4 linked regions of the Drosophila melanogaster genome follow. The protein of the gene in region 2 purifies or fractionates together with the protein of the main gene of each other region. This does not show direct contact. Each region holds a gene or a part of one and is shown on either strand. Other genes may lie near its edges. The genes, in order: bgm, snz, Gel and Cyp4e2.

Region 1 (8,856 bases), on a different chromosome or scaffold from region 2:
ACAGCCGTTGCGGATTTGGTCGGTCAATTTGAGGAAAGCAATGATTTTTTAAGCCACCAATTGAACTAAAAATAAAAAAGAGTTACAAATAAAAAAGCGAGTTCCTCAAAGGTTCTACCGAGATTTGAACTCGGATCGCTGGATTCAGAGTCCAAAGTGCTAACCATTACACCATAGAACCAGGTGAAAGTCCAACGAAAATTGGCACACTTGAAATCGGTGATCTTACAAGAGAATGAAAGAGCTTTTATACCGCTAAATCTATAGAAATTTAGTCTTATAATAGATAGTTATAGTTATATAAGGTAAAAGCAATCTAATTATTAATTTGTTACGAATTAGAAAACTATTTTTATTATTAGATATTTACATATATATTCTATACATGTAATGTAATATGTATTTATATCTTTAATATTAGCAAAATGACATATTTAAATAGCGATATATTTGAAAATTTTCACTGCAAGCTCTGGATAATAACTTAATCGTAGTTTTTGCCTTCTAAATTTCCTTAGACTTCCTTTGTTTGGTTTTTTTTTTTTTTGTGCCGGGGGGCGTGTCAGGTCAATTATGTGCAGTTCACTTTCGTTTGTCTGGCGTTGTTTGTGATCCTGTCTCTTTGTTGCTGCTGTCGCACAATTAGCCAGAGTTAATTAGCCAAACACTTGTAATGCTAACCCAACCATTTCAGCCCTTCGCCACTCGAAGGACTCATTCCAATGGACAGGACTTGTTTAAATGTGCGGACACGTTCATTGCTCTGCTTACCTCTTGCTTAAATGGACTTAAGCGTTATTTTTAAATAACCCCCTTAATCTGCAATATACATATATGTACATATGTACATATATGTTTGAAGGGAAACTCCCCTTTTGAGACACCCATTCCATTACCAACGTTATTATCACATCATTTGCATGTATTTAGTTAGTAGAGGGGGGTGGGGGGTTGAATGGACGTAAATAAGTAGAGCTTCGTAACTTAATTCGTTGCCAACTTTGACGATGACAATCTCATTAACATGACATCGAAATCAGAGCTCATCGGATTATGTTGCCATATTGTTGCGCATAAAATCCGAGGGACAGTTCAATGATAGATGCTCGCTTTATGCTCGTCTGTTGTCAGAATAAATGGCGATAGTCAATCGAATTACCATTGCAGCAGATTTAACTTTAGATTTCATTTGCTTTCTACTGCGAGGAAAAGATATTTTATTTTACATACGTTTTACACAAGTGGGAAAAGCTCTGTAAAGTTTTCCGCAGGTTCCGAACTTGGCTAAACAGTAAAGCTTATGCAGCTTGCAAAGCTTGTAAAGCTTGCACAGTCTGTTCAAAAAGTAAGCAGCCAACTGCAAGCATGAATTTTAATCACAAATTTAATTTTAGTTTAGAAATTTTATAAATTGAGCTGCTGCAGAATTATAAATAAAATGATTAAATATCTTTTAAACTTATAACATGGCTTAAAGAGCTTAAATGTTGAATTGCCTGCTAAAATTTGTTTAGATTTTGTTTTTCACTTTGTCATCTTGTGGCATAATAATTCAGTTATCAATCTGAGGAAGTGAGGTGACCCACAGGTGAGCTGGAGCCACGCGAATTTGCGCACACGCTCTGCTTGGCTGATAACCAACCGAGAAGAATCGACTCGCACATAGGGGATGCTTTTTAAAAATAATTCATAAGTATTATCGCCTAATGCGTTAGCTTGTTCTCGATAAGGCTGCACTCAAGATCAAATGTTTTAAATACAATCTATATTGTATGTATGTACATACATACGTACATCATAGAGAACTGCAAGTGGCGATTAGTTGGAAGAGATTCGAGTGTAGATAATAGTCGCACAATCCCATTGACATTTTAATCGGGGAGATCCTAGCTAACTGTGATTTATACGAACCGGGAGCTATACTATCTAATCGTTTGCAGATAACCGTCGATTTCATGGGATAATCAGCGTTGTATTAGAACCGTGACCAAACAACCATATGAAATTCAGGCAAAGTTGAACCATTGGATGGATGGAACTATGTACATACATATTTCCACGGATGTGGCATAAATTTAAAAGGGAATTGCCGCTTTATATATAGTATATATTGTATTTGTGGCAGCAGTTAAATGGTCAAGTGTACCCGTGTTTATCAGATCATAAACCGTTTTCCAGCTTGTGTCGTTCGATAAGAGCTATAACAATACCCCAAAATGCCACCCCAAATGGTAAAGAACCATCAACCCCATTGGCAACAGTCGAAATCGATACGAGAATCTCTCTATTGTTTATATAGCCGTAATATTTGCCGCTGACGCGTTACCAATATCAGCCTTTATTAAACCCTTGAATAATTCACTAAATATTTGGTTAATTTCTGTGAATCACTGAGCTATTATAATCTGGCTATTCACGGCTTATGGTTCTGCATCTGCTGTTTTTCTCTTCTTTTTTTTTTTTAATTAATTTACTTATACTACTTATCTTTTTTACTTTCCCGGAATGTCAGCTATCTGCCACCTCCCACCACTAAAATAAAAGAGCTTGACTTGGCAAATTTTCAGCAGTCTATATTTGATTGAACACCTGTTTGGTTTGAAAATTTTGTTTATAGCCAAGCCCATTTGTGATAAGCATTCAAAAGGATCTCAACGGAGAATATTTCAAAATGGTAGCACAGGTAAATACAACATTTGTTTTAATTCAATGTTCAAATGCCGTCTGAAGTCTGAAGGTTATTGAAATTCAACGATGGGAATTTCAGAATATTATTTTAATGCGTAATTGCTAATCAGTTATCAGTTGTGTCGCTACAAAAGGGTATTTGTTTAAAAATATTATAAAAAATACATAAAATATGTTATAGAGCCTTGCTAAGTTAGGAAAATAATTGCCTCAGTAATTAAACTATAAACAATAACTAGAAGATATGCTAGTTTTCTACGCTATTTTTAAGTACCACCACTTATAGAAAATGATCCCCTATGAGATCGCGTTACTACTGATAGGATTACGAGATTGGTGTTATTACACATCCATTGCAAGATTCCCACCACGCCCCACTGATAAGTTTTAATTGCCCGTTCGATAAGAAGAGATGTGCTGTTCTATTCACACTCGAAAGGGTGGAGGAGAGGGAGCAAGCACGCCGATCGCATGCTGCTGATAAGAGGGTATCAGTACCAGGTAGCACCCATATCGATGCCGATGCCAACGCAGACGCTGGCAGAGCGATCGGTTGCCCCGCCGGCAGAGGCTTCTCTATAGCATCCGATCCTGAACGGCGTTCAGTTCACGCTTTGCCTTCGCTGAATTCGGTCGTGTTTGCTGTCGTGGTTCTCGAGCGAAAGAAAGAGTGGGAGTATAGAAAATAGACGGCAATCGATTTGCGTGACCAAAGAACAAATATATACATACATATATCGAGAACGCCGTAGAAACACCAAACTAGTTAATTATGTAAGTTTGCCAGCGAGAAAACAGTAGGCAAAGTAGATTGAACAATTGAAATTTATTTTGATTGGATAGTTGTTGTTGCCACTTCCGGGCAACACGTGCGCTCGCATTGTCTAAATCTAATTTGTGGGTCAGTGCACTTTTTCGGCGGGTTCATTGTCATCATCGCCCGATTTCGCACTGTTTTCAATTCGCCGCACGAACTTCCCAATTTCTTTTTCACCTTGCCATCTCCATCCATCCATCCATCCATCCATCGATCGAGCCTCTTTTACATCACGCTCGTTCGTGCTGGATTTTCGCTTCTCCCATTTTCGGCTCACTCTCTTTCATCTATCTCCCTTTAACTTTCGAAATGTCTTTCGTTGGGAGAGCGAAAGCACCGATTGAATATAGTTGTCAAATATTTTTAGATGCTGTGCGCCCCCCATTATCAGTTTTGTTTTTACCCCACTTTTCTGTGTGTCGCGAAATATTTCGAGTACGTTTGGCTTAAATTCGATTTCCATTCCAATCTTTCTTATCGACAGGCCGGTTTTTGTAGTTCCCTCCACGTTAGATTCCCGTTCAGCTCATTTTGGATCACAAGAACAAATGGCAAACAACATTCTTAACGCTATTAGAAGTTGATAAATAAAGCGGGCTTTCCGCTTTGGTAGTAGTAGTTCTCTTCATTGGGTATCAAAAGTAGCTTGGTTTGTATAACGCTAGACTACGAGTTTAGTTGGTAGCAAAAATCTACTGACTCATTTTCATGCCCCGAATGCGTGCGCCGCCACTTTAAGTACTTTGAATTATTATCAGCAGCAGACACTGCTATTTATTTGCCATTTATGATTTATGATTTTCAAGCAAACTATGCTAATGTCTTTGGTACCTCCCATATTTGTCAAAAACAAAGAAAAAAGTGTGGAAGACGCACTTCCATTAACCTGATAATGCGTTGCCCTCGGCTCTTTCCGTTTGAATCAATTCAAAACTTAAAGCACAATTTAACTGTCAATTATCTGCGCGATGTCTATGCCAATCAATCTGAAATCGGTAAAATCATCGCAAATTTCCCGTTTATCTAATAATTATACTTTTGCCTCATGTCATAGAAGGTAATTTATTTGCTGACCCTTTGGACTCAGCTGACTATTATGTCAGCTGTTGGGTTCCTTCATTCTTGATTTGATATCAATGCTTAGTTGACCAGAATTTATTGATTAATAAAAAACGAAAAGCTGCAAGTTAAACAAGCAAGCATTATTGTAGATATCAAGAATTACGATTCTTGGCCTTTGCACCGCGAAAATAAAACTCATTCAAAGAACTTACCATTGCGTTGAATAGCCACAACTTCTCACTTACCTCGAATTTGATAAGCGACTGCGCCTGATAAGTTATTATAGCATAAAATGCGAAATAGTAGTTGGTAATTGTGATAAGCCAATCGTGGTGTTTTCTACGGCCCAGACAAACTCATTCAACATATCTCCTCATGCTTTTCGTCTTTTCCTACAAATATTTTTCCCACCTTGACATTGGTTGTTACCACCTTATACCTTATAATCAGGTGCCAAATTATACGCGTACGATAAGAAAAAACTTTTCACGGAAGCCTTGACATAGGCCAACTGGAGTGTGCGTCTTATCTTGGTTGGCCAAAACAGAAAATATTTGGACGTACTTTAGTCATAGATCGTATGATTCTATTCGACAAGGCAATTTCCATAATTTTTGATTAATCATCGTGATAATTTCAAAGTTGATCTTCAGCGAATTTGAAAAGGATAAACACTAACAATAGGAATAATCGTAGTGCAGCTTTAATTACTTCAGTTAAATCACTTCAAATTAAAGTAATTGATTTCCAATCCGCATTAACAGCCTTGCAACATGTCCACGATAGACGCGCTCTACAATCGTCCTGGGCCCAACCGCCTGCGGCAGGCGGATGCCTATCGCACCACCAATCGTCAGGATGCCGTCAAGATTCGTATGGCCAAGGATGGAATCGGCGCAGAGGAGCCCATCTCCGTGCCCGGCCTGCTGAAGCGTACGGTCAACAATTATGGCGACTATCCTGCGCTGCGCACCAAGAACGGCAAGAACGGATATCACACTGTCACCTACAAGTGAGTACCACCGCTAATCGAATTGCTGGCCAATTGCCAATTTGCGCGCGATTCACTTAACCGCTAACCGAATTATTTTGCCTGCCATCATCCGCAGACAATATGAGCAGAAGGTGCACCAGGTGGCCAAGGCGTTCATTAAGCTCGGTCTGGAGGAGCACCATTCGGTGGGTGTGCTGGCCTTCAATTGCGCCGAATGGTTCTACTCGGCCATGGGCGCCATTCACGCACGAGGCATCATCGCCGGAATCTACACCACCAATTCCGCCGATGCAGTGCAGCACGTTCTGGAGAGCTCACATGCCCAAATCGTGGTCGTCGACGACGCCAAGCAAATGGACAAGATTCACGCCATTCGCGACAAGCTGCCCAAGCTCAAGGCCGCCATTCAGATCCAGGAGCCCTATTCCCCCTACTTGAAGAAGGAGGATGGCTACTACAGGGTGAGTGAGGAACCCTAAAAAGTCTAGGATATATCTAATTTTGTAACTCATCATCCTCAGTGGTCGGAGATCGAGTCGATGAACGTTAGCGACGTGGAGGATCAGTACATGACCCGTTTGGAGAATGTGGCGATCAACGAGTGCTGCTGCCTGGTCTACACCTCCGGAACGGTGGGCATGCCCAAGGGCGTGATGCTCTCCCACGACAACATCACCTTCGATGTGCGCGGCATCGTCAAGGCCATGGACCGTGTGGTGGTTGGGGCGGAGTCGATCGTCTCCTACCTGCCACTTTCGCACGTGGCCGCCCAGACCGTGGACATTTACACCTGCGCCTTTGTGGCGGGCTGCATTTGGTTCGCCGACAAGGATGCGCTGAAGGGAACGCTGGTGAAGTCGTTGCAGGATGCGCGACCCACGCGATTCATGGGCGTGCCGCGTGTGTACGAGAAGTTCCAGGAGCGAATGGTCGCCGTGGCCAGCTCCAGCGGCAGCCTGAAGAAGATGCTCGCCAGCTGGGCCAAGGGCATCACGCTGAAGCACTACATGGTGAGTCAAGGGTAAGTATTCCCCCGATGAGGCCTCTCTTCTTTAAATACTTCAACTTCGACTTTGTGTGCGCATAAATTATGTAAAAAGGATGCACAGTTAAAGTGGCTGCAACGACAGAATTCCACTCGCAAACTCCCATTCCCTGCATTTTACATGGTTCACCCAGCTTTTCGGCCAGCTTCCTGGCCAAGGAAGCCATTGAGGGCCATTAATCATTATATTGAAAAAAGCGCCTTTTAAAAGGAAAAGAAAAATACTAGAAAACAAATTGGTTTAGCTGGTTTAGTTTAGTGTGCTCGTAAAAATTGTTACTTCACTTGGCAACATTTTTTTTTTTTCTGTGTACATGTGTGCCGAGTTTCGGTGTCCGCTAAATTATGCAAGCCAAGCGGGCCGACAGCGCTTCTTAAAGCGAAAATCACTGACAACAACATTACTCATACGTCACGTGGAACAGCTCCCGCTGCTGTTGCTGCTGCTCCTGCTGCTGGTGGTATGTACCAGAAAATAGAAAATGCACGAGGAACAGGACCACGACTAGGAGCAGAGCCAGGACACGCCATGCGGGCACGTCCTCTTAAGTAAAAGCGGGTGAATGGAGAGAACTTCAAGGGAGAAGTGTAGAACTAATAGGGAGTTTCGTTTAAGTGCAGATACTTTTGCAGTGACTGGAGCATTGGGAAACCCAGCAGGCGGTCCAAAATCAAGCGAAAATTAAAAGTAATTGAGGGAAATTTAAAACGAAAGCTTTCGCAATTTTACAAACTATTTATTAATAACTAATAGAATTTATTGCTGACAGAAAATAGTTAGACGAATTCGAACGACTAATTGGCATCATGCTATTGCAGGTGCATTTTGTAATCCTTTGTTTATTGATGTGCGACTAATTCGCAAACACCACACATTCCATTACACATACCCACAATAGCTAACCCCAAACCTTGAACAAAAACTCATCAGGCAACAAAGCTAATTAAACTTTTTGAACACAACTTCTCGCAGCAAGAGCTCCGGGGGATTCCGGTACAAGATTGCCAAGTCGCTCATCATGTCCAAGGTGAAGCAGGCCCTGGGCTTCGATCGCGTCCTTACACTGGCCAGTGCGGCAGCTCCCATGTCGCCGGAGACGAAGAAGTACTTCCTCAGTCTGGACCTAAAGATTGTCGATGCCTTCGGCATGTCAGAAACGGCCGGTTGTCACACCATCTGCCTTCCCGATTCCGTGGGTCTGAACACAATCGGCAAAACTTTGCCCGGCTGCGAGTCCAAGTTCATCAACAAGGATGCCAACGGTCACGGAGAGCTGTGCATCCGAGGACGTCACGTTTTCATGGGCTACATCGACAACAAGGAGAAGACCGAGGAGTCGCTGGATGACGACTGCTGGCTGCATTCCGGTGATTTGGGATTTGTGGATGACAAGGGTTATGTTTCACTGACGGGACGATCCAAGGAGATCATCATTACCGCCGGCGGCGAGAACATACCGCCAGTGCACATCGAGAACACGATCAAGAAGGAGCTGGATGCCATTTCCAATGCCTTTTTGGTGGGCGAGCAGCGCAAATATCTCACTGTTCTGATCACCCTAAAGGTGAGTCTTCAATCGAATCCAATTGGTTGGAAAGTATTTAATTGTTTTTTGATTTCCAGACCGAAGTGGACAAGGATTCCGGTGAGCCGCTGGACGAGCTTAGCCACGAGTCCTCCGTGTGGGTGAAATCGCTGGGAGTGGAGCACAAGACCGTATCGGATATCCTGGCCGCAGGTCCCTGCCCCAAGGTGTGGAAGTCCATCGAGGATGCCATTAAGCGGGCCAACAAGCAGTCCATTTCCAATGCCCAAAAGGTTCAGAAGTTCACCATTCTGCCGCACGACTTCTCCATTCCCACCGGCGAACTTGGACCCACCCTAAAGGTTAAGCGCAACGTTGTGTCCAAGATGTATGCCGATGAGATCGAGAAACTATATGCCTAGATTTCTCACTGCAAGATCGAAACCGATGATAGCCGCGGAACTTGAGCTTTAATGTGAATTTGAATTTAACGGACTTCCAAGCCAATTGAGTGCCACTTTTAATTTGATTTAGGCTGATGTTAACTGTTGGATATTAAACTAAGAACAACTATGGCCCTATGCCTAGGTAGACACGAGCTTGCCAACGATTAGGTCCAGAGATCATTTAATTAGTAACTAAGTTTTATTTTTTATATACTATTTGGTTGTACCAACTGAACAAACGAAAATTGTTTATTGTCTGAAGAGCAACAATAAATTTG
Region 2 (8,693 bases):
TCTACATAAATAGCGATCTTTATTTCGCATTTTCACATAAAAGTGTACAACTGCAATACATAAATAGATTGAAAGCGCCTCGAAACTCTTAATGTGGGTCCTAAGTGGGATACGTTTGGCTCATTGGGGATGAATCATCTAAGTGTCATTTTGCCTAGTGTTACAGAAGGTGCCGGTGTCTTTGGGTCGTGGTGGTGGTGGGTGGGTGTCTACGGGGCGTTTCAGGTCCACAAAACTGATTTTGGGTCAATTCTAAATGTTGTAATTTCGAGTTGTGTGTTTTAACATGGTATCAAAATGCATTTGGATAACCACAAATGCTTAAGGATTAATGCTTCTTTAAAGTCCTGACTTGCGACTGTTTTATTGTGTTATCAAACGTTCTGTTTTTTAAGACAGCCTCAATCAACGCTTAGTCTTTAAGATTATTTGATACCATTACCAATTTTGGTCAATTAGGAAATTTCAAATACAATTTTTAATTGATGGTTATCGATGTGCAACAATTGAATCATTTTAATACAAATTCGAAAAAGAATACAATGTGTGTCAATACGGAAGTTGCTTTATGGCCATGGAACGCACTGTTCTGGACGCCCATTAGCTTGCCTCAAACTAATCTCACCTGTTGTGTTTCTATAATATTTTTGGGGGGAGGATGGATCTACAGCTGGCGCGGCATGGGAATCACAAGCACCGACTCAACGCCAGCTGCAGACGCAACTTTGGGCTCAATATCTGCTACTAAACTATAATTAAAATCAATCCAAACTGAGTGTCACAATTTACTATACGAGTATATAAACAACGATTTGGTACAACGCTTAATACTGACCTATGTACAGACATATACACATAACAAACAAATCTGGCTACAGGAAGTGATGGACGAACGAATCAACAAGAACTGAATTCATATGGATTGTAAGTCTGCATTTGTACAGGGAATGATACTGGTACTACTGAGTTGTGTTGTGTTCTACATAACTATTCTTTGTAATCCCTTTCCTCGGCTAAATCAACAATATCCACCGGTTAGAAAGAGGGAGAGCATTAAACATTGAACATAAAATCAAACAAAACATAACATAAATAAAAAAAAGGGTTTAGGTTAAAGTAAAATCTAAAACGAAGTGGTTCTTCTTAAGTTCACTTCACTTCGAACTGCCCGCTTGCGAATGGTGGTGCTGCTGCTGCTGGTGGTGGTGGGATCCGTGGTGGTAATGCGATTGGTGGTGCGAGGCGGCACCACCACCGGTGGCGCCACTCGCGCCAGCTGAGGATCCGCTGGCCGACGAGGATCCCTGATGGTTTTGGTGACCCCCCGTGGATGCACTGTGACCCCCACCACTATGATTAAGCGAGGGCAGCGAAGCTGATGCCGTGGCAGCCACCAGTGCCGCAGCGGCGGATGCAGCTGCCGCTCCAGCAGTAGCCGTATTTAACTTGGTTCCATTGGAGTTGCTGACGCGCAATTGTCGGATTTCAGGAAAGAACTCAATCATAAGTATCTCCAGCAGCTCCTGAAGATTAGAGATACCAATTGTATATTTGGCTATATGACCACTGAAACCACTACTCACGTAGAATAGCTGCTTGTTGTAGGCGGGATTCTGCAGGGCATCGAAAACCTTAAGGACACCCCGTTTGGCAGCCTGTGCACCGACCAGGTTGCACAGTACCTCCGGTATGTGATCGGTGAGCAGGGCCTTGGCCGCCGTGGTGGTCATTTCGCGCATATCCTCCGATCGCGTCGGATAGGCGGAGGCAAGAACTCCGCCTGGCCAAAATGACTTGAGGATGGCCGAAAAGTAGTTGTGCAGCATAGACTCCTCAAAGAGATAGGCCACCGATTCGCGGATCTGTCGATTGATCGTACGGCCGTATGTGATCTGCACAAACGAGATGAGACTCTTACGCAACCACTTGAAAACTCCGCCCATGTCAAAGATTTCGCCCATTAGAGCGTACATCGGTTCTGCTATCGAATCCTTGCTATCCAGATCCGCTGCTAGCATTTTAGCCTCACCGCCGGACTCGCCGTCTAAATAGGTAGATATATCCTCGTCATCGCGCTGCAGACCCCAAAACGGATCGGTTGCCTTGCTGGCCTCGTGAGCTTTGCCAGCATCGCTGCGGAATAGCGTAGATAGCGAGAATTTGGACTTCTTTGGCGAGGGCAGCGATTGTTTCAGGTGGTCGGAACTTGGGCTAAGAAACGTGTAGATGGCCTCGCTGCCATTCAAATGATCGTCCTCCAGGATAAACTAAGTGGCCAAAAAGTATGGAATCACAAACTTATCTATGGTGTAAAAGAAAAAATTAAACTTACATTCAAGAACTTCTGAATCTGTGACTTGGCCTTTTCCTGACCATGACGATCTGTTTTCAGAAAAAAGAACTTAAAGTTCGTAGGCAGGTCGATGGCCTTCAGGTTAGAGCTCACGTGTCTCAGCTTCCGTTGTAGTTCCTTCACAAATAACCAAAATGTTAGTGAGAGTGATCTATAGAATCTTAAAGGGAATACACACATGGACTTGATTAAGGGAGCGCATTACTACCCAACCACTGGAAATGCCCGACGGTCGCTTACGTAGATTGGCATGGCCGCTGTCACCGTTTTTGGATGAAGTCGGTTGTACTGGGGCATTAATATCCTCGTCCACATGAACCAAGATCATAAACTGCAAGGACTCTTTCTCATCGGAGACCTAAAAGATGCAAAAAAAAAAAAAAAATTGAAGATGGCTGATAAAATCACTCAGGGATGGAGCACTGACCTCTACACTTTGGATGGTAGCCTTCCACTTGCCCAGATGCTCTGTCCAGGCGTCCGTGCGACGCAAATGCGCCTCTGTCTGTCGCTTCTCGCTCTTCAGCCACTCCATCTCCTTTTCGAGAATGGTCAGCACCTTGGACTCCGGCTTCACGGAATATTTGAGGGCGTCCAGCGCCTGATTCTTTTTATCAATCCGTTCCTGTATTTGTTCCAATTTTCGTCGTGCATAGGATGTGTGGGCGGCCACATCGATGGCACCACCAGCTCCGCCATTTAGTCCATCCGCCGCGCCCGGTTGCTCATCCGCCAGCGGCTCCTGTACATCGCCAATGGTGTGACACATTAGCAGCGTGGGATCTGCAATCTCATTGGAGTCCAATGCCTCCTTCAACTGACGATATTGATCGCTGAGCACAAATGGCGGATAGTACTTTTCCTCCAGCGTGCGTAGTACATTGCGCTGGATGTCATAGAAGATGTCAGGCTCGGCATCTCCCAGCAGGAACGTCTCGATCAGTTTGCGTTCGTGCTTGTCAATCTGGATCTCTGACTTGGGCACTCTGATGTAGGTGTAAAAGATCTCCGTGCCCAGCTGATGGCTGGCCGACTTGTGCGCGTGCTTGATCTCCTCCACGGCCAGGTAGAAACCAATCAGAGCGCTAGCCTTCAGCGGCTCCAGGAACAGGGTGAAGTAGCGCCGGCCAACCGCAGTGTTTAGGATCTCGACCAGTGTTAGGTCCTGCAAATAATAATTGAGTTTATCAGTGTTGTGGATATGGGGAATGCTAAAGTTTAATTACAATATCACTCGAGTAATTGCCATTCCAGCCGAACTTGGCCAGATTCTTCTCGCACTCGCCCTTGGCCATTGTGAGTTGGCGTACGTAGCGCTTCAGTCGGACGGCGGCTGTGAGCTCCGACTTGGAGAGCGAGTGGTCCTCGTGATCCGGATCGAGGCCTTTGGCACGCTGTAGATTCTGCATGGTAGTAGCATGCATCAGATCGTTTACTATGCTCTTGCGGATGAGCGAGAGCTCCTCGAGGTTGCCCGAGTTGTTGATGATTTTGAGGAAATCCTCGAAGCTGGCTGCATACTCGTAGCTTCTCTTGCTCATGGCCGCCGCTGCCAAGCGAGTTTCAATGTTTTGGACCACCTTCTGGTTGATGTAGTCCGGTGCTGTCAGCATTTTGATCATCGGAAAGAAAACTGCGGACAGGATACTAAGTAAAACGTGTCGTTTATTAAGCGGCAATGGTTCTTACTCTTGTAGGAGAGAATCTCGCTGAGCAAGACCTTCAATGGGGGCAGGGAATAACCGCGTGGCAGCAGCAGGATCACCATAATCTCGCAAAGCTTGCGCAGGAACTCCATCTCCTTCTCCTCGTCGGCGAGGTACGAGTTTGTACTAAAAACTGGCGGCGTGTTGGTTTCAGCTCTAAAAAGAGGAATACATATATTTATTATAGATCTGAATCGTTGAACAATGGAATGCAAAGTAATCGCAGCTGTTGCCTTTCTGCTTATTGATTACCAATTTAATGATTTGGGATTGATGGCCATTCTCTGAGGCATATAAATTACATTTAATTCTGTTCACTGCATTTTTTCACGCAAAGATAAACAACAACTTATTGTGGCCCAAAGCATTAGAGAGTAAAGGTATTAAACAAAGAGTCGAATTGCACATTGTATCTTTTATATCCAATCACAATCATCCTCTATGCATTTCTTTGTTTGAGCGCAATCAAAAAAATGTATTGGATTAATCCGATATCTTTGCTATACATTACTTATCTGGAAAGGTTTTTGACCTACTCTGTTCATTACTAATATATATCTATTTATTTAAAAAGTTTAATTTTGTGGATACTAAGCCAGGTTAAAGTGAAGTACTTACGCTCTGGCCTCAGCGATGCGAATCTTCTCCAGATGCACTGTCACCCGGTTGACCATGTCCACGGCTATGATCTTGGCGGCGTCCATTCTGAGGGCGCGCTCATGGATCTTCTGTATCGCGTTCCACAGATCTTCGCGCACCACATCGTTGATCAGCTTGGGCTTGGTGACCACGTAGCCCAACCAGGGCAGCATAAAATCGCGCAGCACATATTCAATGATCTGCTGGAGCTGCAGGTCCACTGTTTTGCCGAAAATCAGGGGCAAATTCGATGGATTCTTGATGGGCTTGGGTAGATCGAAGATGTTGCTTCTGCGGGTCAATGGAGATAGAGATATATACATATATATCATATAGAACAAAGTCCGCTACTCACTTGGTGGCATTGTAGAGCAATCGCGAGGGCACGCGACTTGGTGGCGTCGGCTCGTTGGTGGTGAATATATAATGGATATAGACGGTTCCCGCCACAGCTGTCGGCGAGATAAGGGCAATTAGATATTTGGCATTTTTAATTAGGCGCTCGTTCGGAACTGATTGCGCCCGATATGGTGACTCATTTGCCATCATTCCATTAGAAAACGCCCTGGAACGAAAGCGGAAGACTTACCCGCAAAAACCAAGACCAGGGAATAGACCACAAAGGCGAAGAACAGAAAGAAGGTGGGATAATACCAGATGACGGCCAGCAATGTAAGCGTGATGCCCGAAACAATAATCCTCCAATTTAATTGCAATGCACGTAGTAGTCTGTAAGGGATTTCAGGGCTAGTCTGTATCCAATATATGTATTTGATTGGACATTATTTGTATGGACTTACCGGGTGGCAAGGAGCGTTAGGCGTTGCGTTGCCGTTACGGATGGCTCCGGTTCGATGGGAAACAGTGGCAAACGGCGATTCTCCATGGCGTCCACAGCGTGCTCCTCTGATTCCATCGGCCGATTGACTTCGATTCGGGACTTCCGAATCACTGCCTCCTCACCTTATTGCCTACTTCTTCTGAATATTTGATGAGTTTTGTACATTTTCGACCCGCTGACCATTAAAAATAGTTCTCAACAATTGCGTCAATTCCGCTTTGGTCTGGTGTCCACCACCTCCTCCTTCTTCTACTGCTCCGTTGTCGACGACCTCTCCTTCTTCTTCTTAACCTCCACCGCCGCCTCCACCGCCTCGCCCGTCAACGAATGAGAAACGAATACAAATATGGTATCGCACAGTATTGTATCGGCTTTTGGAGAAGCGTCCGTCGTATATTGAAATATATGGGCAGAGAGACAGCTGGCTGGGAATCGAAATCGGAACCACAACTGTCGGCAATATGCGCCAAATCAATACTGGGCGACGCTGCGGATCCGCAACAAGTTGATTGGTTTGACCAGCTTTATCCGGAGCGGAGTTTTGATTTCATTTCGTTTCGAATCGTCTCGTCTCGTTTCGTGTTGATTCGTTTCCGAGGAAAGGAAATCAAAACAAGCGACTCTGATTACTGATTACACGCTCCTTCGATTCAGCTTGATGTGTTGTTGTTATTGTTGTTGCTGTCGCTGCTGCTGCGCAGTTGGGATTGGGCTGGCCCTGATAACACGTCACGTCATGAATCCGATTCATTACATTTCACGCCCGGCTATACACTATCTTTACTGTTATGTTTATGAATTTTGCCCTTTGCTTTGCTTCTTCGCCCTGCGCGAAGTGTTGTATCTCTTTCTGTCATTCCCATCTCGCCGATTAGCCGAAGGGCGCGCCTATCGATGACCAATCGATAGCTATTGCCGTTATCGACACATCCAATTCAAATTCAAATTGGATCCGAAAAACATGAAAAATCATAGGGAAAAAGAAAAATCGCTAGCAAGAACAAATAAGAAGTTAAATACAAAATAAAGGACTGCAAATAAAAGGCGTTATTTATCATTGGAAACTAGATATATACATATATCTAGTAACACATTTTTTATTGTTTACATGACATGGCTGTTTGCGAATCTTCAATGCTAATTAATGACAAAAACTAACTAAACTTAGTTTATTTCGGAAAAATGTTTTTTTTTTTGGTATTTCAAGCTATCTGTTTGTGGATTCGTATGACACGCGGTAATTACGTAAGCTATTTGACTAGCCGGATTTTCCCCACAACCCAACTGACCCACTCATCATCCCAACCGATTCCCATTAAATGCCTCCTCCGCCGTATTCATCCTCAATAATCTACTGTTCCTTGGCCAGGCGGCGCAGGGCACGTTTCCGGGTGCCCAGGATGTTCTTCATAACGATGTTGCGTGCGAACTGTTCGCCGAACACCGCCTCCGTGAAGTGGATGACCAGCTGGAGTAGAGCATGCGGCAGATAGCCCGCCGTCTGGGTGGCAATGCCCAGGGTGGACAGCGCCGAGCGGACATACGTTTCCGGCGAGGGAGCAAACACGCTAGCCTTTCGGATCTTAGACATATTTGTGGCCACAAAGCCCGGCTGGACGCTCTGGATGAGGATGCCGTGCTCCTTGTACTCCGTCTGCAGGTCATCACTGAATTTGTTCACAAAGGCCTGCAAATTATAGGTATTAGTAATTAGCCTTCTATCACTTCTGATGATATCCACTCACCTTGGTGGAACTGTACACGCTCAGCAGCGGATTAGGAATGACTCCGGCGGTGGACGATACATTTATGATCACACCACGTCGCTGGCTAATCATGCCGGGTAGAAAAAGTGCGGTCATGTGCGTCACCGAGTGGATATTGGCAGCCACAATGTTGCGCAGGAATGGGGGATCGGCTTTGTAGCAGTCCAGAAAGTACTCGGGATGGCCGTAGCTGATGCCCACGTTGTTGACCAGCACTCCGACATTGAGGCCAGTGGTCTTTTCGCGGATCTTATCGTAGATCTCGTCACCGCCGGTGAAGTCCACATCGATCACACGCACCTCCACACCGTATTTATCGCCTGAAAGTAGACCGCAAAGAGCAGTTGTTAGTTGAAGTTGTTAACTGTATTTTAGTGAGCAGACTTACCTATCTCCTTGGCCACCACATTCAGTTTCTCCAGGGATCTACTAATCAGCACCAGTTTCAAGCCCCTGCGAGCCAACTGAAAGTGATTAAATATTTATTAGCCTGCTCATATTTACGTACTTTTGGATAGTAAATTCTTAGGTCAGAGATAAAAAGCAATGGTGCTTTGGAATGGGAACACTGAACGTTTCTACCTAAAGCAGGAGTTTCAAAGACGAGTAACCCGTAGATTTTAAGAACAGGAAGTCATTTAAGTGTACTAAGCGTGTATATGAATAGAAATTGGGTGTGAACATTGAACCATTTTCTGTGCGTTCGACGCACGCCGAATGCTAATTTGGCACAAGCTTCGATCGGGGCCCTGTGCTCCACTCTATAAAGTAATTGCCATTCAGGGGACACGTGTTCCCTATAGCTTCTAGCTTCGTTTGCTCCAAGTCTGTGTATTACAAAATAAAACTGGCAAAAAAAAAAAAAAATTACCACAAAAGGTAGAAAAATCAACTGCGATTGCACTTTGTAAAAATAAATAACGAAAAGTACAAATGTAGCGATTTGCAGTCAAGCAAACACTATTAGGGACTGTTTGCGACTGGACTGTTGACTGAAGATCGATTTCAAAGTGCAGATTCACTTGGCTAATGCATTGGCGACCGCTAAACCAATGTCCAAGTCATCGTGGGCGACACTCAATTCGGTAATTAGTAATTACTAATTGCTCATTATTACTATCGTTTTTTGTTTGTTTGTTTGCTTGACCCGTTTCCCATTTTACTATAATCATCGGTCGAGCTTGGACGGACTTTGCTTGCGCTGGTCAAGATTGGGGCAGCCCTTCCATGTCATCTTTGTGTACATACCTCCTTGGCGTAGGCCTTGCCAATTCCATCGGTCGACCCGGTGACAACTGAAAGTCGAAAAAGTTAGCCAATAGTTCTGTGGGTTATCAGTGGATTTATGGGGCGTGGGGAACGATCTTATCGGTCACAGTGAAAAAAGT
Region 3 (8,759 bases), on a different chromosome or scaffold from region 2:
AGCCTTCGCAATGGGGTACGGCGCAACGAGCTTCGCCAAGCCCATGACGAACCGCCTCACAAATCTTAACCTGACCGTAGTGCCGAACGCTGAGTGCAACGCCGAGCTGCCGCCTCTTGCTGAAACTCCCAGTGGAGTTCTGGAAAGCCAGATCTGCGCCCAGGACTACATTCTCAACAGAGACACTTGCCAGGGGGACTCGGGTGGACCCCTACAACTGAATTTGCCGGGTCGGCGCCGAGGGCATAGAATACACTATCACCTAATTGGCATCACCTCATACGGCGTGTTCTGCCGCAGTAGTTACCCATCAGTTTACACCAGAGTGTCTTCTTTCTTGGACTGGATCGAACTTACTGTTTGGGCCTGACAGATGCCTACATCAGGTTTGTATGATGTTGATGAAATTTAAGCCAAAATATATATTAAAAGAAATGGTATATTCTTTCCATTTATATTTCGATTCTTCCTATGGCATCTGTGTGTATGTATATGGACCAATCTAGCCCAACAACTATTTTCACAGGAGATATTTAAATACATTGCTACAACATTACACTAGTGAATTGTAAAAATAAATTGTGCTAAACAGTGGCCATATTGAAATTTATTTTAAAGTTATATTAGATAAACATAGGTGTTAGAAAGGCAAAAACAAACATATTTTTTGGTAAATTTTGCTGAGAATTGAATCATTGGTTTTAGACTTCATTGTTGGCATCAATAACAAGTTGCTTCATGTCTTCATAGCTGGGCTGGTTCTACGAGACCAAGAAAAGGGTTAAAAATACATAGAAATTATATAAATCTATTGTGTAGCGACTTTACAATTAAGAGAATAGGCCATCAGCATTAGTAATCAGCTTACTGTACAAGCAAGCAGTTAAACGAAGACAAACTCTAGGTCTGGTTTGGATCACGTACCTGCCAATAATTATCGTCCCAGTTGGGGAACATGCGTTTGAAAACCCTTGGTTCCTTGCCCTGGGGGACGCGAATGATGCTCACCGTGTCGAAGGAGCGGGCGGTAGGCTCTAAATTAAAGTAAAGCTGTAAATCAAGAAAAGACGTATAATTAGACGTGATAGAAAGCGATGGTGGGAAACGAGAAAACCTTTGCCGTGTCCAGAAGCTTCCCATTTTCCTCCTCAGACACGCCATAGCCAACCCAAAGGTAGATCTCATCGCCAGCATCCAGTAGCATTATGTCGTCCGAGTCCAAGTCCTCTTGCTCGTATTGAGCAACTTCTTCAACCTTCAAAAATCCACCAGAGCTCAGATGACAGTGGAAAAGGCGCGACTCCAGCAGTGGAGCTCCATCGTCACCCAAGCTGCGGTCGTACTGGCCTTCGCCGTTTAATTCCTCCCAGAACTCATCTGGCTCGGCACCCTCCTCCACCTGCTCGAGCTCAACGTCGTCCCAGTAGTCAGAAAAGCGATCAACCGCTGCTTGTTTTTCGAAGGCAGATGCGCCCAAGCCATTCCAAATGTAGATTTTGTGGGACTTTCCCGAATGAAGGACGAAGGCATCACTTGAGGCCAAAGATGAGCTGTCGGCGGCCACCTCACTAGCATGAACATCACTTTCGACGGTGCCGCGAATGCGGAAAAGCTGCGCCGTCACCGGAAGTGCAGTAAAGGATGTTAATAACTTCCCCTTAAATATCTTGTAGAAGTGGCGCGGCTCGTGGCCCTGATTGGTCTGGACAAGAAGACCATCCTTGGAACCTACTAGACCCTCCTCAAAAGCACGTTTCCTAGCGGCAGCAGAGGCCTTTACTCCATGCCACACATAGGTTAGAGAACCAGTGTCCCCGTTGTTAGCCTCGTAGTTGTAAGTGAGCACATAAGAGGCAAATCCCAAAAGAGGAAGTTTCTCATCGAAGGGAACGGTGCTGACCACGATCTCATCGGAACCAGGCTTTGCAACGTACTGTGTGATGGTTTCAATAACGTTCTGACCGTGATCCGGCATGAACCCAAAGGCACGACCACCGCTCTTCTTTAGCTGAGTCACCACGGAGTCGATTTCGTCATCGTTTAATAATTCATCGGAGCCGATACCCAGAGCCGAGCGAATAAGGCGACTATGGGACATTCCAGCATCACGCCAGGTGTCAAAGTACTGCTTAAATGGGGCGGACTCGGAGCCCTCTACGATGCGGTGAATTTGGGTCCAGGCCGGGTACTTCTTGGTGCGTAGGAACTCCTGCGCCTTGGCCATGGCGTCCGTCTTCTCCTTCTGAGTGGCGCCTTTTCCGACCCACACAAAAATGCCAGATCCAGTATCCAAAATAAAGCACTCGCGAGTGTCGAGCATAGCCTGAGTGAGTGGTTTTTGTCCAATGATGTCCACCTTCAGCTTGCCGCTGGCGTCGCTGACCTTGTAGAGAGAAACCGCTGCGGCATCTGTCCTCTCGAAGGCACTATCTTCGTCAGCAGTTGACTCATCGGGCACCTGGTCAGCAGAGCCCGATCCCAGCACGTCGAAGAAGTGCTGCTTATCGGCATCAGTGCTGAAGTCGTCGACGATCTGAACACGGGCTCGTCCGTTATGATCCTGGTCCCTGATCTGGTTTGCAGCGCTGATAGCCTTTAGCTTCTCAACGCGCTTGGCCTGGGAGCCTACGTAGACATATATATCGCTGCCGGCATCCAAAATAAAGCAATCACCCGTGTTCATCGACGACACGGAAAGATTCACCTGTCGGACGCGCACGTTTCGCTTGCCCTTGACCTGGAATAGTCGTGTTTCTCCTTGGGCGTTTGTCTCTACATGCTTGAAGCCAGTTCCGACGCCGCCCTGTTCATAGCGAATGCCTACAACAACATTCAGTTTAATGAAACGTCCAAATCGGTTTGACTACTTTTACCGTTTTTGAAATAGCTCAGAAACAGCTGGGACTCGTGGTCCTGCACCTCGCGATGTTGAACAGGGCCACCATTCAGCAAGTCATCCAACTGGACGGTGAGAATAGCTGCAGCTCCGGCCTCATCGGTCGAGGTCTCCAATCCCAGCCAGAAGTGCACATCCCAAGACAGTTTTTTGTCTTTCTTGTTTTCAATTGTCTAAATGAACATAATGATTCGATTTTGGAAAAGTTTATGTGAGGTATTGCAGAAAAATGTAAAGTTTATTACTAAGCTAAGCACAGATGCCTTTTTACATGACTTTGACAAGGTTAAAACCTTCCAGTTGCTAACCAAGCAGTTCACTCCACGCGTTTAATTAAAACTTTAACAATTCAAATGCATACTTACATTAAGAACAATAAACGAGTCCCCAGTGTAAAATTTGCCGTAGTTAGTTTTGGGATATATAACGGGCTCAAAATTCTGAAAAGATAAAAAAAACTATTACCTGATTTCCAGAGAAGATAATTTCCAAAAATGTCTGACTGTTTGGTATAAACATTTATTCTGGTCATCGCCTGATTGTACACAAACGCATCGCATCTCGAACCTAATAAATTTGGCCGATGTTGGAGTTAATTAACAAGAAGGATCAGACGTCTAATGTATACAAGCAATTTCCATATATCTTCTCGGGAAAGATACATTATGTATGTATATTTATAAACACATGGCCGCCACACTGCCCGAATTCCAGAATAGAAGCAAATGTCTGCCGATCTCGAGCTGGCGCGTATCGGGCGCCATCCCTCCGCCTTCGTACCCTTCTCTCCCAGCCTTCTGGGTGCCACTGCATAAGCACCGCACCTATCCCATCGATGTCAGCGCGATCTGCTCCTTACTTACGCTTATTTATTCTATTCCCCGTACCCGGCAAGAGAACAACTAAATCCCAAAATCTGACTCACCTCGATGCGCCAGATTTCCAGGCCGGGAGTACGGCCGGCGTTGGCGAAGGAAGGATGCATCACGCGTCTGGCTGCCTGCTTGCTGTTCTGGCCGCTGGGCTGAATTTCGCCGGATTGTACGGGAAACGCAGGACGGGCGTTGAGGGTGCCGGCTGAGCACAGACTGGACGAGAGGGCCAAAAACACAAGCAGGCTGAAAGAGACAAGCAAAAAGCTATTATGGCAGCTTAATTGACCAAAGATAACAGAACTACTCTAAAAAAATATATATTCCACTAAAGGACTCTTGCGAGTCTATGAGGGTTTTCTCTTGATTAGTATCACCAACAAGTTGTTATAGCCACGTCCGTTTCTCAGCCCGACGCAAAATAGTTTATCAGTTTTTATTCTATCCAAATGATGCGTTCCGAAAAGTCTTCTTTGCAATGCAGGTAGGGTATCACAAAATTTGATATTAAACAGGTGTTTTCTTCGATAGTTCTTTAGTAAACACAACCGAAACTATATTTTTTGAACCAGAAAGATTTCAGTCTGCTACACGAAAGCGACTTTTCTTTTGGATAATACAGGTTTCAGGGAAAAAGGACAATAGGTGGATATGGCTTACAACATTCAGGCACTCTATTCACAATTACGCGCAACTCCAACTGATACACCGCTCTGTAGGGTGTTCAAGACATGAAATTGTGCTCTCTCTCAGCGCAATTAAACTAGATACACCTAAATAGTACATCCGACTGTTTATATGTGAGTCATGACCATAAAAGGCCACAAACTAGGCACACCACAACTGCCACATGGGGCAAACCTGGCGAAACCTAGAAATGAACACAAAAGTCGGGTGTTGAATCACACCGCAGCCACTTTTACGCACTTACTCTATTTGAAACGGCTGTTTTCTCGAATTGGTGTTAGCGATGTCGCGTACGACTGCTAAAGTTTTGTTAAAATTCAGGAACTGAGTACTTATCACCCCAGAGCTTTCTGGACAGCGAACTGCTCGCTTGCATTACCTGGAGAGGACTGCCATTGTGGCGGCGCCGGAGGCATCCATTTCGAGTCTGCCTCTTCTCTGGTCGACGACCGAGGGTTCCGAGGAGCTTTGTTTATTGTTGCGATAAGTATCTGTGAGTCGCAAATAGCGTATATGCCCGATGTGTTTGGGTACGCGATCTTTTGTATTGGCCTTTATTTTTGTCGTAGCGTTGGTTTCTAGTTCAAACAGCGGCAGTTGCTCTTCCAGATTTAAGCAGAGTGTGTGGAAACTGCAAGTAAGAGAATCATCAGGGCAATAAGAGAAGGAAAGATGTTAATATTTTCGAACGAATCGCTGAGCACTGATGTTTAACCGCCAACAAGTACGCGTATGTTATATACAGCCACCCAGAAAACAACGTCTTTAAATAATAATAATTGTCTTCAACAATAAGAGCTTCCCCAAACTCGTTTAAGCTAAACTTCCTGATGGATTTCTTAAATGTGAGTTGTAGAATGCTAAATGATACTTAATATTTCCCGAAAAGTTGTTCTGCTCACCAGCTCCTCTCTTGTATGATATCATGTTTGTATCTCGAGTGCGCTGCTTGATCAGAGCATAATGTTAAGGAGAGCAAAAAAAAAGTGCCGCAAGCGTGTAATCGCATATTGTCATTCAGTTAATTAGTTTCACCTGCGTATGAGATCACGACTGTTTTCGTCAAGCGGCAAGCCCATTTGGCCCTTCCTTGCAACTGGGTCACAGCCAAAAAAAAAGAAATCAGTTTTTATTGAGAACTCAGTATGGGATGGAATCATATAAGATTTTTAAATTATGTCGGCAAGCACATTAGTTCCAATTTGTAAAGGCTTGGGAGCCAGTCAGGAGTACGTCATACGTACTTCGAAATGATACCTATTTGAAATGAAAGTGATGGGCCACAGCATGTTCGGAATAATATTCCGAAGCCGGCCATAAGTTGGACCAGCTTGAATTGGTTGGATAAAGGCAGTTACCCATTTTCCAGTGCCAAAATCATACAAACGGATTCTTGGACAAACCGCGCGCATGGGTAACATTTAAACATTCAAATGTGTATCCAATTATTCAAATCCAATCCAAATGCCAATGAAGTTGGGGATAATTTAACGGAGATAAATTAACCAAATTTTGTAGGTACCATCAATTTAATTTGATCATATTATACAGTGTTATGAATTTATTTTTTCAAGAACACACAGCTTGGTAAAAAGCTAGTGGCTTATCTAATATAAAACCGACCTCAGTTCCGATGATTGTTTTCAAAGCAGTAGATAAGACAAATCAACGACCAATTTAACGAAATGAACTCAGCAAAATAATAGCTTTGAAAGTTGTTAATGTCTATATAATCAGCCTTCAATTGAAATCATTTAGGCTAGTCTGAATTTTACTTTATACTAGAGTAACCTACTATTCTGGGCGATGTTATTACATATTGCTGATAAAACATCATTTAATTTTTGGGGCACACTTACTTGTAAGTCAATACGATCTGCGCAATTTCTCACGATCCCAGTGCGATGATTGAATAAAAGCGCTTCGAACGACAAGCATGCAGAGCTCTGCCTCAGACACTAAACGAAAGCCAAAGCTCGTCTTCGCTTTTATAATATTTTTCTTAAGCCCGAAACGCGCGCGCGTCCGGCCGAGATCGCTCTCTGGGGTTGCTGGGACGATTGATAAGCAAAGCTTCGTGCGATAAGCAGCAAACTGAACTTAAAACAGAGTGAAAATAAATTTAAAAGTTCCCAGAAAAGTATGTATGTATACTAATCTATTTATTACTATTTTAATTTGGTGGTGGTAGTGGTTTAGTAATCCGCAGCGGTGTTAGATAGGTAGTCGCGACGTCCTATGTTTGAAGCTTGCTTGTTCTGAACAGCCTCAAGTTTTGGGCACTCCGTGATGCGATGGCCCAGACCACCACAGTAGGTGCAGCCATGCGAGTCACCCAGGTCCAGGTGCTGGTGTTCGGTCTCAGGTGCCAGTTCGTCCAAGAAGTCCGGGACCTCTTGCTTGCCCTCGATTAGCAGGTGCTTCAGGTCGAGCAGAACCGACTGCTCGGTAGTCTTGTTTATCAGCGTCGTAGCCAATCCCTTAGTGTTGGAACGACCTGTGCGGCCAATACGATGCACATAGTTTTCAATATCGTCCGGCATGTCGTAGTTAATAACGTGTTGCACGTTAGGGAAGTCCAGGCCCTTCGATGCCACGTCGGTGGCCACCAGCACATCTTTTTTGCCCACGCGGTAAGCATCGACTGCCCGCGATCGTTCTTCCTGATCCTTTCCGCCGTGAATAGCCACCGCCTCCACGCCTTTCAACAGCAGATACTCATGTATGCAGTCTACATCCTGCTTCTTCTCAGCAAAAATGAGCACGGGCGGCGCGGTCTTCTGTAGGCAGTCCAGCAAATATACCACCTTTGCCTCTTGCTTAACGTACTCAACCTGTTGGGTGACGTTCATTGACGCAGCACCTGCGCGACCCACATTTATTGTGACAGGCTTCACGAGAGCTGATCGAGCAAAGTTCTGGATCTTTTTTGGCATGGTGGCAGAGAATAAAAGTGTCTGTCGCTGGCCTTTGAAGAAAGAGAATATCGTACGAACGTCCTCTTCAAATCCCATGTCAATCATGCGGTCAGCCTCGTCCATGCACAAGTACCGGCACATGTCCAGCGTAAGGATCTTCTTGTCCAGCATATCCATTAGACGACCAGGGGTCGCCACCACAATATGTACGCCGCGTGAGATGACGTCAAGGGCCTCGCTGACCGGCAAACCACCCATGGCCAGGCAGGAACGAATCTCAGGCATTCCGCATGCCTGGAGGTGCTTGCTGTAGTGTTGAATTATCTCGTGTGTTTGCTTGGCCAGTTCGCGGGACGGGCAAATGATCAGGCCGTAGGGGCCCTCGTTACGCTCAAAAGGCAGACTATACTCCTGTTCCAGGGCAAACATGATGACTGGCAGCACGAAGACAAGCGTTTTTCCAGACCCAGTGAAGGCTATTCCAATTAGGTCGCGGCCGGCTAGTACAGTGGGCAGGCCTTGCACTTGGATTGGGGTCGGGTTCTTAATGCCTTTGGCCGCTAAGCCGTTAAGTATACCTTTAGGGAACTTCATTTCCCGGAAGCTGCGAATTGGCGGGCTGGGGGTTTCTCCCTCCACTAGGATCCTCAACTCGTGGCGAACGGCCTCGCGCTCTTCCTCCGACATTTCCCGAATGTAACGCGGCGGTTTCCAAGCTGTTTTAATAGGCTGCTCGTACTGAATCCCCTTCGCCAACTCTGCCACACCCATAAGGGCCTTCTGCTGAGCAATGCTCTCCATAATCTTTTCCTCCTCTCGCAGCTGCTTTTCGACGGCACTCAACTTTTTGGCCTCGGCAATTTTCTTCAGTTCTGTGTGCTGGTCCAGCAGACTAATGTTGTACTTGCGTCCCCAGGTCTCGACATCGTGCGCACCCTGCGAGTCGTCTTCATTCTCATTCTCGCTTGACGACTTGGGCTGGGCCGTTTCCGAAACCAGTTGCACGATCCTGCCCAGCTTTATCATGTGCTGCTTCTTCCGCTCCTTCACCGGTACGTATGGCACGTAGTCCTCGTTGTCCAGGTCGCCTTCCTCCGAGGACTTAGACGACCTCCGATACCGCTTTACGTGCGCCATAGCATTCGATCTATATTTCTGATTTTTGTTTGTTTCGTTTTCGCCTAATTTGACTACAACAAAGGCCACCGTACGACGTTTTAAATTAGGCGAGCCCGAAAAATACTATATTCTAATGGGTATCGATTACAGTTATTAAACAGTGATTCCACTGACAGCTTCTTGCTTATGATATATTCATGGCATGCAGACCGGATAATAGTTTTTTTTTCAATTTGGGCAAAATCTTTCGATTTCGTTTTTAGGTGC
Region 4 (5,637 bases), on a different chromosome or scaffold from region 2:
GTAACCTATCCAATAACGAAAGTTATCCTTGCCGTACTCATGCCACCAGCCAAAAAACCGGTTCAAAATCTCTGGAGAGCAAAGTTAAAACATATCATTACTTGCTCTACAATTAGATAGAAGCCATAGTCTTTAATACAGCAAAAAACGACGGATGAATTCCCTGACGAAGATTTGTTAAGTTAATCCCATTGATCGGTACTGCAGTGACCTTTAGTATATTTAGTCTCAGTGTTATCATTCGTACACAACTGTTATGTGATCAGTCACACCTATCGAGCGATGTTATCTAGAGGGGACTTTGATCCCACACATTGAGATTGTCTAGATGGAGCACCTACCTGTGGGAGTGTTTCCCATCTGATGAGCATTGCCCACCAAAGGCAGCATACTTGGGCCTTGGAATTTGTTCAGCATTCGCTTTCGCCGCAGTAGTCCAAGCTCGAAATAGGTCACCAAGAACAGTGGAAGGGCAAGAAAAGCGCACAGTACGATCCACATTTTGAATGCGACCACAGACAACCGATCGGTGCAGCGAGTAAATCGGATTTGAGTAGAAACCTCAAGACTCTCTGCGTCAGTACTTCAACCGGTTGCGGCAGACAGTTCTCAGTCTCTCGCGCTTGGATATACATCCACACATAAGAAGCAGCCTATGACTATCTCCCAAATTTTAAACTAATATATGGGCACTCAGCATGACCTTCTATATGCTGCGACTAAGTTTCTTGATGAACATTTCTCTTGAAAATGGCTTACACGTGTGGAAACTATAATTTCAAATTTTTTAAGCTAATTAACATAGTCTCAATGGTTCAAAGATTAAAACGAGTTGATTTGTTTCAAAAGTTTTATGTGTTGTATGAGACAAAGTGATTAACAGCTTCCTAATAATTGTATCTGTGGGGACGGCATACCTAAAAAAACACAGGTATGCAAAATTAAAGCACCAAACTTAACAGAGATCAATAAATTGACATTTTAGTGCCTTTCCTTCAGCCGAATGTATAGACCATTTTCGGATTTCAGGGTCAGCACAGCGGAAAGAATAGGGTCGTATTTGTGACGGTATGGATCGCGCTTCTTCCTCTCGGCATCAGGGAGTCCAATAGTGGTGCTTATATAGCCATCCTTAGAGACGAGCTCATCCAGAGCAGGAAGCACCTCGAAGTTCCTAATGATCTTGGATACCACAGTCTTAATCTCCAGCAGGGCGAACTTCTGACCAATGCAGTTTCGGGGTCCAGCGCTGAAGGGTACATACTCAAAAGGTCCTGGTTTCTCCAGCTCAAAGCGCTCAGGTCGGAACTTGTGGGGATCTTTGAACACCTTTTCGTTATAACCCAGCATCACGAGACCCAGGTTCAGTGTGGTGCCCTTGGGTACGAGATCCCCATCTATAAGCAAGTATGGTACTGTTATGTAAAGCTCTTTAAATTGCTTTAATTAATGGTTACCTATAACATAGTCTTTCTCCGTAAATCGTCCAATGAAAGGCACGCTGGGATAAACACGCTGGGCCTCCTTGATAAAGAGATCCAAGTACTTCATTTGGGATATTTCCTGGAAGGTGGCATCGCGACCCAGTTCGGAATTACCCATTACTTCGCGTTGCTCCTTAAATAGTTTGCGCTATAATAGCAAGGGAAGTTAGTCATTTAAAGATTTGGCGTCTCAAGCAATGTACTGAACCTGTTCATCTTGATGTCTAGAAAGCAAATAGACAGCGAACGACACTCCAGAAGTGGTAGTATCATGTCCTTCAAACATAAATGTGGAGACCTCTTCGTACAGTTCCTTGGAGTTCAGGGGACGACCATCAATAGTGGAGGACAGCAGAGTGTCTAAAAAGGCCATTTTCTTGCGAGTGAACTCATCTCCCGCGTTGGTCGAAACTGCACCCGATTTGTGGGCTTCAATGCGCTTAGCGATGATCTCGTTGGTAAAGTCCTGCAGTGTTTTTAGAGTCCTGCTATAGGCCGGGTAGTCCGGAGCCAAACGATACAGCAGTTCATTGCGCTTCAGCGGGTGGAAGGCTCTCATGTTGATGTTGTAGCACATGCTGAAAAGGATCAAGAGTCATGCAATCTGATAGTTCGACTACGAGGTACGAAACTAACTCTTTGAAGGCCTGCACAATGGAAGAGCTGCGGTTTTCCATGGCATTGATGGACACACCCATCGCTGTGTCGCAAATGACATCCAGGGTCAAATAGTGGGCCTGTTCTTGGAAGTCGAATATATTGTCCCCGGCAGCAACTGTCTTTAAGTGCTTGATAAACTTGGTGGAGTTCTCGTTCATCACCTCGTGGAAGTCCTGCAGGATGTTGAAGTGGAATGCTGGGGTGATCATCTTGCGGTGTTTATGCCATTTGCTGCCAGTACTGGTGAGGAGACCTAATCCCAGCCAAGGGTGTGTTAGTTGATAAATGTCGGACTTTGTGATCAGCGTCTGACTGCTGAGTATGAACTGAAGAAGTACGAAAATAATAGAGTCACATGATTACATGATTGGTGGAAATTCGCTGTAACTCACTTCAAGGTACTTGGAGCTGGTGACCAATACATTAGAATACGTTCCAATCCAAAAGACGAAGTTGTCTTTTCCATACTGATGCCACCAGGAGAAAACCGTGTCGAGTATTTCTATATAGACGTGAGAAAATGCCATTAGTAGGCGGATCGCGTACCAATATCGGTATTCCGTAGATAATCATTGCTTGTTTTTGGCACGCGATTTTCAGTATTCATTAGTGCAGTATAATACATACATACATACATCGTATATTACACAACACAAATCAAAGCCTCGTCATTATTTTTGCGATACTCGACCTAGGCTACGATTAGCCCATTTCTACAAGTGCCAGTAGCCCCATTATCTGATAGTTAACACCCTTGTTTTCCGGTCGTAAAGTCGCTGGCCCAAAATAACCTTACTTGAATAGCCTCGCCGCTGAGTAGATTCGATGCGCAGTTACCTCAGTCACAACGCTATTCGAGATGGGTAATTTCAGGTGTGTCCTCTGCGTGGCTAACGCTACGACTTTTCCGGCTCCTATGAAAAACCCACCTGACGGATTCTTGCCCATTTGATGAGCGTTTCCCATCAGCGGCAGGCCGCGGGGGCCGTTGAACTTGTTAAGCACTCTTCTCCGGCGGAATGTGCTCAACTCCAGATATGCAACCAGCAGCAGTGGTAGGGCCAGAAAAATATACAACACGAACCACATTTTCGATCGCGAGTTCCACGACAACCGTCCAGCCCGCGAATCACTGGAAATATGAGAGCTTATTTGGGCCGGCGGGCGGTTTAAATACGAGAGATACCAATATCAGCCAGCTCCCCAGTCGCTTGCTCCCTTATCTGCCGTTTTCCTAATCCAACTGTAGTCTCCCGAATATAAGTATATATTTTGGTGCTTTCAGCATGACTTGCCGAATCAATATCAGGTTTTTTAAGATGAGCCCCCTGATTAATCGTTAGATGAGATGGAGAACCAATAGTTTTCGAGACTGCGCTTAAATGTGTAACAGTTAACTTTTTTTAAAACTGTATCCAGTATATATTGTTTTATGGCAGCAAAAAATGGAATAAAACAAAACGTTGATAAACATTCGCTCACAACAAGAAAGAGAAATCGGGAGAATTGATGAACACATTATGTTTGCAAAATGTTTTTAAGATTACTCTTACAGAAATTGAAGAGAAGAGAGAGAAAGTCGCTTGCTCTTCTTAGCTTATCAGCAGCAAGACTTAAATTTGGTAGAAATCACAGACGTAAGGTAAAATCCACTGCAAATTTAAATTTACATTTACATTTAAGAAATGATATCAGCACAGTGTGCGTTTATTTTTCGATTATTCTGTTCCGCTCCGTCACGTTTTGAGTTACATATGTAAATAGAAGCAATCTTTTTGGAAGAGTTTTATAGAGATAGTTTTAGAACTGAGAGACGCACATGGCTATATCGATATAATATCAGTCAATAAAACATGATACTGATCAAGAATATATATACTTTATATTCTCGCTGCAAAATTCGAACTTAAGCCAAACACGAAAAACGTTTTAAAAGAAATCCAATTTTTTACATTGTCTCTGCATCATGACTTGTAGTATGATAAAAGCATTATAAAAGCATATGGGAAATGCATTCTTTCGTAAAAATATGCTTTCGGAAACGAGTTAATTTGTGAATTTACATCAAAATGAATAGCTTTGAAGATAAATCTAGTGGAAGAGAAGAAAATGTTAAAAAGCGGCATTATTCTGTTCGTTGTTCTTCCGTTATCAGCACAATGCTATATATTTTTCAAGAAAACGCTGTTATGTATAATTACATTATATATATATATGTTATATTTATATTTGCTAAAGCAAATAAATTACTTTGGACGGCATTCCACCTAGTGACTAATCGCACTAGGAGTGTGTGCGAATGCGACTGCTATATGTACATATATATATACACAATTAAATGATAAGTTCTGTAGTTGTACGAACTTAAGAAATGTTTATACTTATGTATATGGTAATTCTTAATTTTTTGTCCTATTTTGAAAAAAAAAAACTATTTAAACTTATTCGTTTTAAAATTCAATGCTGTGTAGCTATTAAAATTCCTTATTAATATTAAAATTTTTTTAAATGCATTAATAAATTGAAAAGTCATGATCGTCTGGTAAGTATAAATATAAATATAAACACCAATCAAATTTTTTTTTAAATTTATATGTATTTAGTTGTTAATATCAATCTTTTTACCACACACCTTTTCAATTTGATTGCTTTTCCAAAAGTTATCTATTTTGTGTTTACTATGTTGAACAAACAGCTTATCGTGCCGTTGTTAATCCCTCAATCAAAAGTGTCCCTATTAATAATTATTGCGTGTCAAAAATTATGGCTACCGCCCTAATTCATTATCACGAAGCGACTAACAATCGTTTATTGGCCCCAAATCTTCTGGCGATACCAAAAGGCCTTTAGACCTACACGTCATCAGTTTAGTGAGTCAATTCCCACTAGGTAGTCCACAATAGTTATATTTATCAATTACCGACGGCAATAAAGTACTATGTTAATAGTACATCGATTGCAAGCAACAAACAAAAAATAAAATGCATAAAGTTCAGATAAGCTATCGAAGGCATAATCGGGCGAAAATTGGTCACCGACTAATCTGCGAATGTTACGGCAAACCACAGTCTGTGCGGCATTGCGAGCGAGAACAGTTGGGCGGCATCATGTTTCTAATAGCCATTGCCATTATTTTGGCCACCATTTTGGTGTTCAAGGGAGTGAGGATATTCAACTACATAGACCACATGGCTGGCATCATGGAGATGATCCCAGGACCCACGCCATACCCCTTCGTGGGTAATCTGTTCCAGTTCGGTCTCAAGCCAGCCGGTGAGTACTGACCAAATAGCCTGCCTATATTTATGAACTCTTCAACGTTTAATGCCAAAATCGTGGCTCTGACCGAATCAGCCCGCCGCAATCACCTGGGAATTTTGCAGCGATTCAATGCGTTCATTTTCCGGTGGTATCGAGTTGCACATTTGGATTTCATCTCGGATTGTGCTGATTTCCTCGACTTATTTATTGTAATATTTGCTACAGCTTTCAT

The links.
Region 1: the proteins of snz (region 2) and bgm purify together in Drosophila melanogaster (affinity purification with mass spectrometry, with the first as the bait; one study listed by BioGRID). This does not show direct contact.
Region 3: the proteins of snz (region 2) and Gel purify together in Drosophila melanogaster (affinity purification with mass spectrometry, with the first as the bait; one study listed by BioGRID). This does not show direct contact.
Region 4: the proteins of snz (region 2) and Cyp4e2 purify together in Drosophila melanogaster (affinity purification with mass spectrometry, with the first as the bait; one study listed by BioGRID). This does not show direct contact.

What each region holds. Positions count from the first base shown.
Region 1 is NT_033779.5:14,010,456-14,019,311, forward strand, and holds the start of bgm (bubblegum), read left to right. Parts: upstream 1-2,548; 5' UTR 2,549-2,683; intron 2,684-3,290; exon of another isoform or gene 3,291-3,462; intron 3,463-5,331; 5' UTR 5,332-5,340; coding exon 5,341-5,579; intron 5,580-5,676; coding exon 5,677-6,022; intron 6,023-6,082; coding exon 6,083-6,582; intron 6,583-7,579; coding exon 7,580-8,171; intron 8,172-8,230; coding exon 8,231-8,554; 3' UTR 8,555-8,856. UniProt on the Drosophila melanogaster protein: Mediates activation of long-chain fatty acids for both synthesis of cellular lipids, and degradation via beta-oxidation. Probably by regulating lipid storage and catabolism, plays a role in neuronal function.
Region 2 is NC_004354.4:7,909,785-7,918,477, reverse strand, and holds snz (snazarus), read right to left. Parts: upstream 6,390-8,693; 5' UTR 5,615-6,389; coding exon 5,499-5,614; intron 5,428-5,498; coding exon 5,288-5,427; intron 5,151-5,287; coding exon 5,054-5,150; intron 4,990-5,053; coding exon 4,678-4,989; intron 4,216-4,677; coding exon 4,043-4,215; intron 3,987-4,042; coding exon 3,580-3,986; intron 3,519-3,579; coding exon 2,781-3,518; intron 2,712-2,780; coding exon 2,532-2,711; intron 2,471-2,531; coding exon 2,333-2,470; intron 2,268-2,332; coding exon 1,584-2,267; intron 1,524-1,583; coding exon 1,155-1,523; 3' UTR 34-1,154; downstream 1-33. Other genes in the region: spidey, read right to left, coding at 6,891-7,226, 7,285-7,625, 7,694-7,769, 8,554-8,600.
Region 3 is NT_033777.3:4,232,880-4,241,638, reverse strand, and holds Gel (gelsolin), read right to left. Parts: upstream 6,423-8,759; 5' UTR 6,315-6,422; exon of another isoform or gene 6,030-6,314; intron 5,970-6,029; exon of another isoform or gene 5,666-5,969; intron 5,552-5,665; 5' UTR 5,491-5,551; exon of another isoform or gene 5,358-5,490; intron 5,087-5,357; 5' UTR 4,876-5,086; coding exon 4,835-4,875; exon of another isoform or gene 4,700-4,834; intron 4,640-4,699; exon of another isoform or gene 4,434-4,639; coding exon of another isoform or gene 4,429-4,433; intron 4,015-4,428; coding exon 3,822-4,014; intron 3,337-3,821; coding exon 3,262-3,336; intron 3,070-3,261; coding exon 2,874-3,069; intron 2,821-2,873; coding exon 1,115-2,820; intron 1,051-1,114; coding exon 925-1,050; intron 762-924; coding exon 702-761; 3' UTR 582-701; downstream 1-581. Other genes in the region: CG14642 (uncharacterized protein), read left to right, coding at 1-370; abs (abstrakt), read right to left, coding at 6,651-8,510. UniProt on the Drosophila melanogaster protein: Calcium-regulated, actin-modulating protein that binds to the plus (or barbed) ends of actin monomers or filaments, preventing monomer exchange (end-blocking or capping).
Region 4 is NT_033778.4:8,442,367-8,448,003, reverse strand, and holds Cyp4e2 (cytochrome P450 4e2), read right to left. Parts: upstream 3,445-5,637; 5' UTR 3,331-3,444; intron 3,294-3,330; exon of another isoform or gene 3,277-3,293; 5' UTR 3,234-3,276; coding exon 3,074-3,233; intron 3,023-3,073; exon of another isoform or gene 2,923-3,022; intron 2,647-2,922; coding exon 2,537-2,646; intron 2,471-2,536; coding exon 2,121-2,470; intron 2,063-2,120; coding exon 1,693-2,062; intron 1,633-1,692; coding exon 1,458-1,632; intron 1,398-1,457; coding exon 982-1,397; 3' UTR 840-981; downstream 1-839. Other genes in the region: Cyp4e1 (cytochrome P450 4e1), read right to left, coding at 1-71, 342-501; Cyp4ad1 (cytochrome P450 4ad1), read left to right, coding at 5,252-5,417. UniProt on the Drosophila melanogaster protein: May be involved in the metabolism of insect hormones and in the breakdown of synthetic insecticides.